Linked DNA regions of Caenorhabditis elegans. The protein of the gene in region 2 interacts with the protein of the main gene of each other region in a pairwise test. Each region holds a gene or a part of one and is shown on either strand. Other genes may lie near its edges.

Region 1 (4,838 bases), on a different chromosome or scaffold from region 2:
TTGTTTGTCCCATTGTCTAGAATGTGACCGAGTATTCAATAACTCGGTAAGCGTCTTCTCACAATCCGTGCTATCGGCGTTTAGTTGATTAAAAAAAACAGTATATTAGTTAGAAGTTGAACAAACCATTCTGATAATTTTATATTAACATGATTTTTAGCCTTTCACATCATTTTGTTTATTAATGGTTCACCAGTTGAAAATTCTTATCATGATTCAATATGCACCGAGTGGCTTCCAAAGACCGCCTCGAAACTACTTTATGACTTTTGATAAGAATCATACCCCTTTTCCCACCATGCAAACAATTTCCGCTCTGCTAATTTTGACTCTTTATCTTGCAAATTGTGTTACTTCATCCCCAATTTGCACAAATGGGTTCACACTAATTAACAACAAGTGCTTGAAACTTTTCAATACTCCAGTCAATCATAGAACTGCTGAAAGATCTTGTAGTAGCTTTGGAGCAACACTTGTTCAGGTCAAAGATTATCGCGTAAGTACAATTTGCCCACAATTTTATGATTTTCCAAAGTCGAGGTTACAGGATAATCAAGCAATTGCGACTATTGCGGGATCTGGAAGTTCTACATTAATATGGATTGGATTATCTTGTTTTGAAAGTGATCCTTCGCAGTGTTTATGGGATGATGGATCTGAATCGGCACAAAGATACAACAACTTTTCCAGTGGTTTGGTTTTATTTATTTGATTTGAGAAAAAAAAACAACTATTCAGTGTTTTAGGTTTTCCAATTGTCGAACTTGGGCAATGTGTTTATTATTCTACGCAGGGAGCACTAACTGGCAAATGGCTCAGCGAGGATTGTGAAAGCCAGCGTGTAGCTTATATTTGTGAACTACCAACAACGATTGCAGGTATCATGATAACGTGTCTTGTGAATGTCCAGAACTTCCAGATAGCTGCACTTACAACTACAACGGGTACTGCTACACATTCAGCACGGCTGATGCACCATTTACTACTGCACAGGGAATTTGCGCAAAAAGCTGTGGAAGCCTTGTGTCAATACATTCTTCAAATGAAGCTCAATATATCACCACCTTTGCGCCAGAAGGTTTTCACTATATTGGAGCGATATGGAATCATAACTCAAGTCTCAACTGGGTAGATGGTTCTGCGTGGGACTACAGTAAAATTGATCCAACATCTCCTCGAATAGATTATTGTTTGAAAATGTCGGTGTTTAACGGTTCTCCGACCGGCTTATGGTACAGTGACAACTGTATCGACAATAGGAAGTACGTGTGCAAGCGTGAGGCTGGTGTGCAGTGCCCAACTGTACCACCAACATCTGTGACACCAATTTCTTCAAACTCATCAAACTGCAACGCAGGGCGACTAATGGATAATGCAGTTATCACCACTCCGAATTATCCAGAAAACTACTTCAACAATGAGAGATGTACTTATCAGCTTTCCACATTGGGGCCAAACAGGGTTTTTCTACAATTTAATTTTTCATCGTTGAATTGAACAATGATATGGTGATCGTCTACGATGGTGAAACGATAAACAGTCCAGTTTTGGGACGTCTCAGTGGTACTATAAGAGCTCCGTTTTCATATACATCAACTGGAAATAACATGCTTGTAACGTTCACGTCAGATGAGAGAACCACTTTCCCAGGTTTCACGGCAAAGTTTACTTCTGTTATCTATAGACCATAGAACTTTTTAAAGATCATGCTACCCTTGTATTTCATTCGTTGAATAAATATTTTCAGTTTAATTCATTCCAAAACTTTATTTTTGAAAAAAGTGCACCTCGACAGGGAGGAGTTTAAACTGTACTGAAACTCAACTTTTTCTGTGAAAAATCTATTCCAATTCCTGCGAAACAAACATCTTATCTGGAATTTTTAATCTTAATTTTCTTTCAATAATATTTTTTCCGAAGAAAAGTGTGACTTTCCAATTAGATGAAACTGCAAGATAAGTTCACCATTTCTCGAAAGCTACCGAAATTTTCCCCCGCAAAAATGGATGACGCCACCGAACAGGAGGTGTTCAACCGAATGCAGATGACACAATTCGAGGAGAAGCGCTTCGAGTTGGTGGTTATAAGGGCAGAGGATACGGTAGTTGTCGAGCCGTTGAGACAGGTACTAGGGGTACTTTAGAGGTACTCTAGAAGTGTTTTGGGGTTATAGTAGGGGTACTGTAGGGGTACTGTAGAGGTAGTGTGATGGTAGTGTAGGAATAATGTAGAGACACTAAAGGCTACTCTGGGATACTGTGAGCCAGATGTAGGGATGCTGTAGAGGTAGTTTAAGGCTACTGTAGGGATACTGTATAGGTACTGTTGCAATACCGTAGTAGGTCTGTGATTCTTGTGTAGGGGTTTTGTAGGGTTACGGTAAGCTACTGCAGAAATGCTCAGCGGGATAGTGAGAGTACTGTGAAATTACTGTAGGGTTACTGTAGGGTTACTGTAGGATAATTGTAGCGGTACTGTAGGATGACTCTAGGGGTATTGTAGACAAACTCCTAACTTTTAAAACGTTTTTTCCAGCGTGAAACTTGCCCGAAATGCCACCAAATACTCAGCTCGGAGCTCTCCCGTCTATGGCACCAATTTGTCCATATGGATGCATATAACGGATTTCTAGATGGAAAATTTCAGATTCAGCTACCAGATTTTGAATTTGTGCGTTCAAATGTTTTTGTTAAACTTATAAAATCTAGTAAAACTAGTGATGTCATTAGGTGGATTCGAACCACGGTGTTGAGATTAATATGCTGTCCAAAATCTCACTGCGCCACTTGGATATTTTGAAAATTTGTTTGCAATTTTCTTGATTTTCAGGTAATTCCCTGTCCATTTTCCACGTGTAGCCTACTATTTTTGGACCTCATTGATGCGAGATTCCATTACCTCCTGGAGCACCAATCCTGCCAACTATTTTGCTGTGGAGTACGGTTTTCAGACTATAAGACTGCTTTGGAGCATTTACAAGGAACTGGATCTGTTGAAACAGAAGCTTGGGATCAGCAGAAACATTTTTTGAAGGTTGGGAAATTTTTATTTAGAAAAAATAAATCAAGGAAAAAATTTTTGCTCCAAATTTCAGCCAGTTTACATCTGCAACTGTTGCAATCGTACTTGGTCGTCACGTAACGAGTACGTGGCACATTTACACGGCCGGGATCATATGTGCCCGGATCCGGTGTGCAAGTACATTTTTGAAACTAATGAGAAGTGTATCCGACACTTTTTTGAGCAGCATTATGTGAGTTTTCATTGGGAATTTGTATTTTAAAATTTGGAAAAGCTGGGAATCTGAAAAATTTAAAGCTTTTTAGCCTGAAAATTTTCTGAAGAAACTTGTTAGGAAATAAGTTTTCGTGAGACCCAAAATTTTCTCAGAATTCTTGTTTGAAAAGTTTCAAACTTCCATAACTCATCTAATTTGTAAGCTTTTTTCTAGTTTTTTTTTGACTCAAAATACTCCAAAAAATTCAATTTATTTTATTTTTAAAAATCAAGTTTTCAGAAACACCTATTCCTAGACTCCAGGCACCTACTTCTCAACTACAAGTACTTTTTGCGCTACCAGGAGAAGCAGGAGGAACGAGCATATGTTGGGCTCTTTTTTCAGAGTTTTTCCTTTATTTTTGTTAAATTTCAGGGCTTATATGTGTGTACCACATGTCAACGCCGATTTCGGGACAACAAGGGGTTTCAGAGCCACGTGGCAAGCCAGAATTGTGAATTTTTTGATAGAAAGGTTGGTTTTTTTCCAATTTTTTCCAATTTTTTTCCTTCAGTTTTTTGTACAAGTGATTGCTTGCAAATGTGGTCACCAATTCAAGTATTGCTATTACCAACGTGACGTGCTTTTACGAAACCTGCCAGTTTTACGTGAAGCCATGGAGCATGTGGAGCGAGAGGCTCCGTTCAATAATATGCCCGAAGATGTGGTGGGTATTTGGGTAGAAAATGGTCTAAAAATTATTAAAATTTTATTAAAGTACCATTTTTGGTTAAAAAAATAAAAAGGGTTCTAGTCCCCACTGAAGCAATTTTTTTGTTTTTTTTTCCTAAATATTCAAAATTTCAGTGCAATATCTACCGATCCATAATTGTGGTGATCATTGATGTGAATCAACGTCTTATCAACGAGAAATTCACAAATTATCAGCGAACAAGCCCACTGAAACATTCCTCGTTTACGCCACGACAGATGGCCAAGCTCTTATTGGAAGTAGTGGACTACTTTTGGAAGATTATGTAGGAAGTTGATAAACTTGCTTGTTTTAATGATATTTATACCTTTTCAACTACATAAAGACCATAACTATACACTTTTAGGGCTTGAACCATATTCAATCCAGTTATCCTAATTTTACTCCGGCCAAGTAAAAGTTCACATTTTAAATTTTCCAGAAAAACTGCCAAAAACCCAACTTGCGTGACAAGCTTCTGCTTAACTTTTTGCACAAAAAACCTATAAGGAACTTTCAGATCGCGTGACACTTGAATCCGGCGGTGTGGCCGGAACATCTAGTTAAATTACCTGAAACTTGCATTAAACTTCTAGGCTCCTGATCGCGTGACAATCAGAGCCGGTCATGTTACCAGAACCGAGTCACTGCACGATATGCCCCATTAATACTAGATCGACGTTACGAATGGCTGGAGGGGTACATAGAACTAAGATTCTTAGCAAAATTACCTGTATATTATAAGAAGACCCGGCGGAACTACAAAAATGTGATCATCAGATTTAATCAGATTTAGTTGTGTGTACTCTCAAACATGCGAAATTAGTTGAAAAGTCCGCCGCATCTGAACTCCCGCCATTCTCGTAGACC
Region 2 (4,823 bases):
CTTGAAGATCTGGATTCAGAACTCACAGCTGAGAATCAGTGATCTTGTTGTAGATGGTCTGAATATTGAGCATCCTGTACATGGAACTATTCTCCGCGGAATAGACTTTACTAGATACGAAGATCCTCTGGTCGTGGATGATGGAATGGTTCAACACGTCCAAATTGTGTGCAAAAGAGGGATCAAGGCAAAGGTTTCCCTCACCAGAACTACTGTTCGATTCGTCCGGCTGGCCGACGATGAGTAAGCAGCGACTTTTGATCATCTTTCACTGCAAATGCCTTCAAATACCTGTGCAATTATTTTTTTCGGTTGAGCTATATGGTTAAATGGTTGAGGTGATGAAATAAATATGTTCTTGTATTTTAAATTATGCAATAAAATGGCTCAAGAAATCGAATTACACAACCGTAAAAATGGAAGTAGAGGGGGGACATTGGGATAAAACATGACTGAATAAATGAAAATTTCGGGTTAGAATGCTTGTAGAAATGCACCGGATGGGGAATCACATAAATTATTTAAAGTTCTCCAGTGGCGCGGGCCTTGTAGTGCTGGAAGACACGATAGAGGGTGTGGCTCAGGTTGTTCCAGTAGTTGTAGGCCTGCTTCATGTAGAATTGAATGACCGAGAGTGGCTCGCCGAGTGAGATTCCAGAGGTGACGTGGACGGTGGAGGAGAGTGGGAGGAAGCCGCGACCTGAAAAATATAAAAATTCATTAGAAACGAGGGGATTTTTATATGGGTCTGGTTGACTACAAACTACAAAATTATATTTAGCAGACCAAGCGATTTCAGTTCGAAATTGGTCTGCTAGACTACAAACTACAAAATTATATTTAGCAGACCCAAGTGATTTCAATTCGAAATTGGTCTGCTAGACTACAAACTACAAAACTGTATTTAGCAGACCATGCGATTTCAGTTCGAAATTGGTCTGCTAGACTACAAACTACAAAATTATATTTAGCAGACCAAGTGATTTGATTTCGAAATTGGTCTGCTAGACTACAAACTACAAAATTATATTTAGCAGACCCAGGTGATTTTAATTCGAAATTGGTCTGCCAGACTCAAAAAAAAACGAATTTTCCTTGATTTTCGGTGTAATTTACCGTAGCACGCGACGTAGGTGTCCTTCTCGAAGCTGTACACGTGGGACTCGAACTGTCCGTGCCTGAAAGCGGCTCCCGAAGCAAAGTTCTCCGACGTCTCGTCCTGAGTTCCGTCATTGAATCGGCTGACTTTTCCTTTCAACACGGTGCACGTCGTATTTGCCCAATGGAGCCCCGGGCGTCCTGAAGTTGGGAACGGAGCGGAGAAGGCGGCGGCGAACTCGGTGAAAGCGGTCAGCATTGGGTACATCTGGAAAATTCATTAAATTTAAGATTTTTTTTCGATTTTTCCTGTTCCTCACCCTTAAAGTGAGGCCTCCCAACTGAATAGCGTGCCATTCGAAGTGACTTGGCATGATTGGCTCGTAATAAGTGCGCATTCCAGACGTCAATGTGGAAATTGACTGGGAGATTGTTGGAGCAGCTGAAAATATACAATATATTAAAATTGCGGTATTTTCGCAGAAAAATATGTTTTTCCTCACCAGCAGCCTTTCCAGCGATAGTCTTGAACTGCTTCGGCGAGATGTCATAAGACTTCCAGCGGAGGCCAAATTGAGCAGCCTGGAAGACTGCGTAGAAGAGCAGAAGATACCGAAGCTTTGAGGTGAGAAGAGCCATTTTCACGTGTTGAACTACCCTGAAAACATGGAAATTTGGAAATTTTGCGTGAAAAAAAAAGGAAATACAGTCATTTCGCGAGTTTTCAAGAGGGACAGCGAGTGCGAAGAAGAAAAATTGTGAGTTTAACATTGATTTTTTGAAATTTCAGATGTTTTTTCGCGGAAAAATCAATGGAAATGCTTGAAAAATGCAAGAAATGGCGCTGCAGCGCGCTGAAAATTAAAAAAATCAGCGAAAAAGGAATTGTGTGCAAACACCGTGACGCAGAAGCACACAGAAAACACCATATCTGACGCGCATTGCCACAGAAGGACCGAGAAGAAAAACAAAAGTCATTTTTCGCCTTTCTCATGTTATTTTCGGGGTTTCCTTCGATTTTTTCCACTTTTAGAAGTCTAAATTTAATTCTACAGGCTTTTAAAAATCAATTTGTCGGAGTTTTGGGCCAAAAAAAAGGCCGAAATCCGCTAGAAAACGTAGTATTTCTATTTGAGAAATTTTGAAGAAATTTCTCGAAAATTGCTCAGCAAATAGTTAATTCCACGTAAATCCTTTGAAACATCATTATAATGCCACGTTTTCTTCATGAAATTTCTGTTTTCGTAATTTCACGCGGATTATCCTCGTTGTCGTGGCAACCGAGTCGGAATTTTCCAGCGATTATCAGTTTTCTCTCGCTTTTCCTGCTAATTCCTTATTTTCCACTCAATTTTCTCGATTTTCAGCTCAAAAATGCCAATCGACTACTCCAAATGGAAGGATATCGAGGTTTCCGACGACGAGGACGACACTCACCCGAACATTGACACTCCGTCGCTCTTCAGATGGCGCCATCAAGCTCGTTTGGAGCGAATGGCCGAGAAGAAGATGGAACAGGAGAAAATCGATAAGGAAAAGGGCACGACGAGCAAGAAGATGGAGGAGCTCGAGAAGAAGCTTGCCGCAGCCGATGTCACTGACAAGTCGGATATTCAGAAGCAAATCGACGAGGTGAAGGCGCAAGAAGAAGCCTGGCGCAAGAAGGAGGCCGAACTCGAGGAGAAAGAGCGTCTGGAGCCATGGAACGTCGACACGATCGGTCATGAGGCGTTCAGCACGTCGAGGATCAATAAGGTTTTGAAGATTTTTCTGTGCAAATTGATTAATTCTGTAATTTCAGATCACCGAGAAGAAGCCGCAAGCTCCCAAAACCGATGAGGAGGACACTCATGCGATGAGCACTTTCTTCGAGACTCACGAGAGCCTTCTGGAGAAGATGGCCGTGCTCAAGAACGGAGCCAAGTCGACGGAGCTGTTCCTGGCCGAGCATCCGCATATGGCGTCGGAGTACACTGCAAATTGGCTCACAATTGAGGCTCTCAACGCCGCCATCGATTTTAATGAGGAGAAAATGAAGACGATGGCTGAGCAATGCATCATCATTCAATATCTTCTGGAGCTCTCGAAATCGCTGAACGCAGTCGCCACGAATACCACCGTCCAGAAGCAATTCTTCAAGAAGTTCGAAGCCGCCGAGCCGGTCTACATGAAGCACTATCAGGATGAGGTGAAGGCGTTCGAGGATCGTCTCAGAACACGTGCGCAGACGAAGAGAGACGCCGCGATGGAGGAGGCTGAAGCCGAGGAGAAAGCCGAACGAATGAAGAGTGCTCCGGGAGGAATCGATCCACAGGAAGTGTTCGAGCAGCTGCCGGAGGAGATGAGAAAGTGCTTTGAGGCACATGATATCGAGGCGTTGAAGGGTGTCGCCCAGAAAATGGATGAAGAGGTGAATATTTGGGTCTGCTAAATTGAAATTTGTAGTTTGTAGTCTAGCAGACCAAGTTTCTTCCAAATGGCATTGGTCTGCTAAATCGGAATTTGTAGTTTGTAGTCTAGCAGACCAAGGTTCTTCAAAATGGCATTGGTCTGCTAAATCGAAATGTGTAGTTTGTAGACTAGCAGACCCAAAGTTTTCAATTTTCGCAATGAAAATTGCAAAAATTGATAAATTTTCAATTTTTCAGCGGAAAAATGAATATTTTTCAAATAGAAATTAGCAAAAATTCAGGTTTTTTGCGATTTTTAGTGGAAAATTGTGCGATTTTTGTGTTTTAAGACAAAAGTGCGTATTTTAATATAAAATCCTGAAAAAATCTGAACTTTCGGGGGAAAATTGATCTATTTTCAAATTTTTGAGTGAATTAACATTGTATTCCAAAAAAAAACGAATCAAAAATCAAAATTTTAAGCTGAAAACAGGCATTTTTTAATTTTGGTCTGCTAAATCGAGTTTTGTAGTTTGTAGTCTAGCAGACCAAATTTCTTCAAAACCACCTATGGTCTGCTAAATCGAAATTAGTAGTTTGTAGGCTATTATTTTTAGCCAAATTCATCTAATTTCAACATCCAAAAATCCAAATTTTCAGGTCTTCAAGTACCATTTCGATCGATGCATCGCCTCTGGACTCTGGGTGCCCGGAAAAGCTGACGACGACGACGACGATGAGGAAGCTGCTCCAGCCGAGGAAGAGCCAACAACCAGCTCCTAAATTTCCCCATTATTCCCCGTTTGAAAGTTCCCCTGATCTACTTGTTTTTTCTGCACCGCACTTTACTTTTTCCCCAAGATTCACTGAAAATGGCCCAATTATTTCTTTATTTATTCTACACCCCCCACGACATTTACTGTTTATTTTCCCTCTCGAACACCTGTAAAAAAGTTTTTTTTTGCTTCGAGAATCGTTCCACTTCGTATTCAAAAATTCCAATTCGGAATAGCATAAAGATTATCATCATCAACTTTCTTCTTATTGTGTTTATTCGTTTTTTTTTCTCACGATTTTTTGAAAGTGATGTTTTGTAAGCAAACGTTAGTCTCCGCCTGACAACTATAAAGTTCAATAATGGATGTATTATCGGTCATTTTTTGGCTGAAAATGGTAAATTCGCGGCTTATTCTACTAGTTTTTGTCCCATTTTCCTTGGCACAATTGAGCTTGTATGGAAGTGAGTCTAGGATGGGTCTGCTAGCCTACAAACTTCAAATTTTGATTTAGCAGACCCAATAACGTGCCATTTCGGCGTGATCTACGTAGATCTAC
Region 3 (5,674 bases), on a different chromosome or scaffold from region 2:
ATGACGGGGGAAACAAATAGGATTAACCCAGGCGGTATGTGTCAAAACTGTATCCAAATTTTGCAAGCTCAAATCAAGGTTCAAATCAAACTATTTTGATGGTTTTTCGGTACTCATATTGCAAAATATGTTTGCAAAACCCCCACGATCGGGAACCTCGATTTATTAGAATTTACGGAATTTTGCTGTAAAAAGTTTGCCGCCCTATGCATTGAGTAAAAAGTTACTGATCAATTAAAAATCTACTCTTTTTTGGTTCATTGTTTCCAATGAAAATAACGATTAGAACAAACAACTTTTCATGAAAGGACGGCATATGTCGGAATCATTAATTTTTTAAGATTCAAGTTGACTTTTATACGTTTTCTACCAGTCAACTAGGTCTAAAAGAGCAAAAAAGTGTTGTATTTAAAAAGCAGGAAACAAGAAACAAACGTTTCTTTTGTCTTTTGCGTCCATTTTTCTCGATTTTTTGCTGTGTCCCAACCCGAAGTCAAGCAGTAAAGAACGTCAAAAAAATCATCTGGGGAATTGTGAAAAATCAGCAAATAAATGGAACAAAAACGAGGTCATTCGGACTTTTTTTTTGGACGTTTTTGTGCTACGAGTGTCATAGAAAACGGAAATGTGGATTCATGTAAAGATATTCGGAAAATGGTGACAAATGATGGATGGTGACAAAACAAAAGAGAAAAGGGGAGGTGGAGCTGGACATTTGTATAGCAGCAGTAGTGAAGAAATTTAATTATGATTCCCAGATTCGAAGTCAGTATTTAAATGATTACATTCACAAGTCGTTTACGCAATATCCATTCCTACTCAAACGGTTCGCTTTGAACTTTATTGATTTTTTTCAACATTGAATACAAAACAAATCTTATTAATTGTTCATATTGTCATGTAAATCGAACTTCCATCTCTGTTTCGATTTCCGTCTTCTCCTCATCATCTTCCACTTGATTCGAATCAATGTATCTCATTAGAACTTCTCCAGTTTTTGCCATTACTGAGAAAAAGACAAATCCACAGCCAATTATGACAACTAAAGTATTGTAAATAGTGGCATGGTTATAACTTTCGGATACGAATACCTGACATGATGATAAGAAACCATGTTGGTTTGGTCAATAAGAATCCAACAAGCGAAGCTGCTTCAAGAATGTAAATCAAAGCTGCAATTACTTGACGATGAAGATGAGATCCCAGAAATGAGCCAATGGGAGCTGAAAATTAATAATAATGTGAAAACTATTAGCCTCGAAACAATTTAAAGTTTAAATGAACATCTGCAGCCGAATGGAAGTTACTTCGCGTCTAGACTGGATATTTTACTTCGTTTAAGTCAGTTTTTGAGCAAATTATGAAAACTTTCAATTGATCGTGTAGTTATTTTCAGAAAGTACAAATATTTCTTTATCTTTCTATATAAACTTTCTGAAAAATAATCTCTAATTAATCTCTAAACTTTGAGATTCTTTTGGAATCTAAAAGCTGCACAAAACTTTCACGTTGAAAATGAAAATAAATGCATGCTTTTTTAAATCTATGTTAGACATTTTCAGAACATCCGGATCTCAAAATAATTATGATATTCGTGTTTAACGTGTTCTCAGCATTCTAAAAATATTTTTTTCGAACCAAAAATCGCAATTTCATTTTTTCGCCCATTTTTCGGAAGGCGAAGGTCCACTTTCGTTTTTCAGAGCGGAGGACGATTTTGGAGATGAGCCAACATTTTTGAAAAATTTTTTTGGAATCTGATAGAGGACTGAAAAGTATGACTATTTATCAAAATTTGAAGAGAAAATGTTAAAAATAAACGATGTTATGGGGAAAAATCAAAATTTTCAGAAAATAGTATGGAACTTTGCTGAAATTACTGATTTTTTTATTTATTCACGTGAAAAATATGAAAAACATTTATACAATACTGTCTATCTAACTTTGTTTTTATTGCTTTTGTCGTGTTTAGACAACAGATTTGTGAGGAACATTTTTTCGACACCTTTACAGAATCCCATTTTTCTTCATGTTGTGCCGAAGTTTTTTCTCTGCGATTTACATAGAAAAGTAGAAAATTATTTGTACTTTTAGAAATTAGTTTTGTTTTGAAATGAACGTTTTGGGAAGTTGCTCAAAAACTGACTATGGTCAAAAAAAGGATTAAAGGATTAAAAAATTTTTAAGTGAGAAAATATGAATAAAAAATTACTTTGAAAAGACCCGGATGAGGGAGTTTGCGTTAAAAAACGTTGACGTTAGATGCGTGAAACTTGGGCAAACCCCGGGTAAGAGGTAGCTAAGAAACGTCGAGCAAAGTCTATATTGAATATTTCACTGCATTTTTCAACATATATCTACAGAGAAAAATGGAAGATTACTTTAGAAAAATGTCTGTTATATCTGAAGTCTGCTGATTGTTTTTTAGGGTTTGCGATATAAAAAGTGACCAGCAAGTTTCAGCTGGTTACAACTATAAACTTCAAGATATGTTAGGTTTGTTCTATCAGTACCGAGTAGCCAGATTTCTACGCAGATTTTACAGAATTCAATAAGATGTTTGAAGTTTTTCGAACAATTTCAAAACGAACCCATTGTCGCAACAACTGGTATTGTGCATGTAAAATATTTCCATGCAATTTCCGATATATCACCCATTTGAACAGCTCTGTAGTAAAACCCGAACATTGATACAACACCTGTCAAAATAAGATTCCATAATCAAATGAAGAATGATGGATGTGTACCTTTTAATATCATTGTTGTAGGTGTCGCTGTCTTCTCACTAACCCGGAACAAAAGGGTTAGCGTTGAAAACATACAAATATCAATTCCACTTCCAGCAAATGCATCAAAAATTCCTCCAACAACACCTGTTAGAAACAGAAGCAGACCTTTCCAGAAACAAAATTCAGGAATTTTAACAAATGTCGGTCGCTTTTTCTGAGCATTCAAAATTCCGAGAGCAAATGCAAATGATGTCCAAATAGAAACAAAGAGCATTTTCTTTTGAGCTCCGGTGAAGAGAGGATCAATCTGTAATTCGAAATCAGCAAGAGGTTCAAGATTCAAAAATTACGCAATGGACTCCGAAAATGAAACCTGGTATGGCTCCTGCGATGCCAAATATAACTGATCGTTCATCAAACTTTACTTTCATAAATATTACACAGACGAATGCAGCCATCATACCTGTAAATTGTAGAGGATTTATTGAATAACATTTCTAACTTACTATACATTTTCAAAGTAGTTAAATTATTTTTCTCTATTTCTATTTTTCTATTTTTCTATAAAAATTTTTTTTCACTTTTCTCCCAAAAAAGTTTTCAGACTTGTTATTATTGCTTGAGAAATTAAAAATAAATGTTAGACTACACTTCTTGACTATTTCAATTTTTTCTTCACCGTTTTGTAACTGCTCTTTATCAGAGCCAAACTTAAATATTCCAAAATTAAACAAGAACATACCAATTGACTGGATCATAAGTGCAAAATCTCTAGCAATCGACGGTGCTAAATGAAGAACTAAAGTCATAACGGGAAAAGCAACAGCTCCAGCTCCTTCAGCAGTCATTCCAGATATGAGTGCTCCAACAACCATTGTAACAGGCATATGCCAATATTCTGGGTAGTAATGGAAAAAGTCATGCTTGATGGCTGTCGCCCACCAAAATGTCTGGAAATTTTTTAAATACTTTAATGGCAACTGAGAGAAGAGAGAGGAAGAGAAAAAACTTACATGAATGAAAACAAACGGTATCAACACAGCGACAAACTTTCGATACTTGATAAGAATGTAATCAGCAAATGTTGGATTAACAGGAAAGTTTGTAATCTTTTCAGCATGTTTCTCGTCAAGTTGTTGACCTGAATAACTATAATTAAAACAAGTGAAACGAGAAAAAAAACCATACCTTCAAGAAGATACTTTTTACACCAAGACCCAACTCTTGTCGGTTCATCTTTCAATAGCTCCGTCATGTCTGAGCTCAATTTTCCTCATTTTTCTGATATAAATTGTCGAAAAGGTGTGCCAGACTGCTAACCAGTTTGACGAACAAAAAGGCGGGATGAGCAGTATAATACAGCTTCTGAATACAAAGTTCAGGGAGAGTACGGAAAGGGATGACGTCACGAGATCATTCTGAAGATAAGATGGTAAGATGGAGATTGTTTTTAAAAATCAAAAGTCGATCATCTATTCATAGATTGATAACACGGTCAGAATGATTTGATGTATTCGATTGGGTGATCTTTGACACAAATTTGAACATACCAATACTTGACAAAAGTGTACATACAGTTTTTTTTTCTAGTATTCGAAGTTGTGTCAATTAGATACAAGTTTGGAAAATTTTGTTGTTGCCGAAATTTTTGCAAAGCTTCCTTAATATGATACATTTTAAATTAAACTGAAAGAGAAGAAAATTGAATTGGCCAGTCAATCTTAAAAATGACTTGCGTCTCTTCGGGAACGTATAATATTTTTTAATGAACATCGCCACAAAGAAGTCAACAGATTACAGCAAACTTCTCTGGAACCCATTCTCTTCTTGTCCTTTTTTCGAAACTTTACACTGTGAACCTAATCTGAACAGTTCAAGTGATGGCTATTGCTTTAAAAGGAGTGACTGAAAATTGTTGGAACACAGTCATTCACCTGGTAGAATGTCTTCAGCAATGTTTCTTTCGGTTATGGCCGGTTTATCCGGAATTGTGGTATTTGGAGCATTGATCTCTGTCTTCCATATTTATTCCGACATTAATTCGTTTGTTGAAGACAGTCATCGCGAATTGGGAGAGTTCAAGGTTAGTTTTTTATTAAATTAAAGTTTGAAAAAAATACATTTTGCTTAATTGAATTTTGAAGGGCTTTGCCAATGATGCTTGGAACTCAATGATAAACCAGGATGATTCTGTCCGTATGGCTCGTAGCGTCTTTGGTCGTCGTCGTCAAAAGAAGCAATCTCAATGCAATTGTGGTCAACAAGCATCCAATTGTCCAGCTGGACCACCAGGACCACCAGGAGCATCAGGAGATAAGGGGCATGATGGACAACCAGGACAAGCTGGAAAACCAGGACAGCCTGGTGTTGCTGGGCCATCTCATCATCAGAAACAAGAATGCATCAAATGTCCACAAGGACTTCCAGGACCAGCTGGAGCTCCAGGACAACCTGGACCAAAGGGACCAAATGGAAATCCAGGAGCCCCAGCACAAGGTGGAGGTCAGGGACCACCAGGACCTCCAGGGCCAGCTGGAAGTGCTGGATCACCAGGACAGGCCGGAGCTCCAGGAAATCCTGGTAGCCCAGGAAAATCTGGACAACGTGGACGCGGTCTTCCAGGACCATCGGGTGCACCAGGATCACAAGGACCACCAGGAGCCCCAGGTCAACCAGGAAGCGGGAATGCTCCAGGACCAGCTGGACCACCAGGGCCAGCAGGACCAAATGGACAACCAGGACATCCAGGACAAGATGGACAGCCAGGAGCACCAGGAAATGATGGAACACCAGGATCCGATGCTGCTTATTGTCCTTGCCCAACTCGTAGTTCTGTTCTTCGTCATCGTAATGTCAACCGTCATCGTGCAGCTGCTTCAAAGAAGCGTGTTGTTGCCAAGAAGCGTGTTGCAAAGAAGCGTGTGGTTGCAGCTAGACGTCATGTT

Evidence for each region.
Region 1: the proteins of cdc-37 (region 2) and T07D10.3 interact in a two-hybrid assay, tested with the Caenorhabditis elegans proteins (one large-scale study listed by BioGRID).
Region 3: the proteins of cdc-37 (region 2) and C15A11.7 interact in a two-hybrid assay, tested with the Caenorhabditis elegans proteins (one large-scale study listed by BioGRID).

Annotation. Positions count from the first base shown.
Region 1 is NC_003279.8:12,626,162-12,630,999, reverse strand, and holds T07D10.3 (C2H2-type domain-containing protein), read left to right. Parts: upstream 1-1,917; 5' UTR 1,918-2,002; coding exon 2,003-2,125; intron 2,126-2,535; coding exon 2,536-2,670; intron 2,671-2,829; coding exon 2,830-3,033; intron 3,034-3,094; coding exon 3,095-3,253; intron 3,254-3,517; coding exon 3,518-3,604; intron 3,605-3,652; coding exon 3,653-3,751; intron 3,752-3,791; coding exon 3,792-3,944; intron 3,945-4,084; coding exon 4,085-4,258; 3' UTR 4,259-4,326; downstream 4,327-4,838.
Region 2 is NC_003280.10:577,535-582,357, reverse strand, and holds cdc-37 (Hsp90 chaperone protein kinase-targeting subunit), read left to right. Parts: upstream 1-1,764; coding exon 1,765-1,856; intron 1,857-2,465; coding exon 2,466-2,853; intron 2,854-2,899; coding exon 2,900-3,508; intron 3,509-3,643; exon of another isoform or gene 3,644-3,697; intron 3,698-4,148; coding exon 4,149-4,271; downstream 4,272-4,823. Other genes in the region: fbxb-14 (F-box associated domain-containing protein), read left to right, coding at 1-247; W08F4.3 (Sigma non-opioid intracellular receptor 1), read right to left, coding at 522-700, 1,117-1,366, 1,419-1,540, 1,602-1,737; W08F4.7 (CW domain-containing protein), read left to right, coding at 4,626-4,728.
Region 3 is NC_003279.8:7,403,350-7,409,023, reverse strand, and holds C15A11.7 (sulfite exporter TauE/SafE family protein), read right to left. Parts: upstream 4,075-5,674; 5' UTR 3,985-4,074; coding exon 3,918-3,984; intron 3,871-3,917; coding exon 3,743-3,870; intron 3,680-3,742; coding exon 3,472-3,679; intron 3,193-3,471; coding exon 3,080-3,192; intron 3,037-3,079; coding exon 2,748-3,036; intron 2,700-2,747; coding exon 2,592-2,699; intron 1,224-2,591; coding exon 1,092-1,223; intron 1,043-1,091; coding exon 897-1,042; 3' UTR 513-896; downstream 1-512. Other genes in the region: col-62 (Nematode cuticle collagen N-terminal domain-containing protein), read left to right, coding at 4,672-4,812, 4,874-5,674.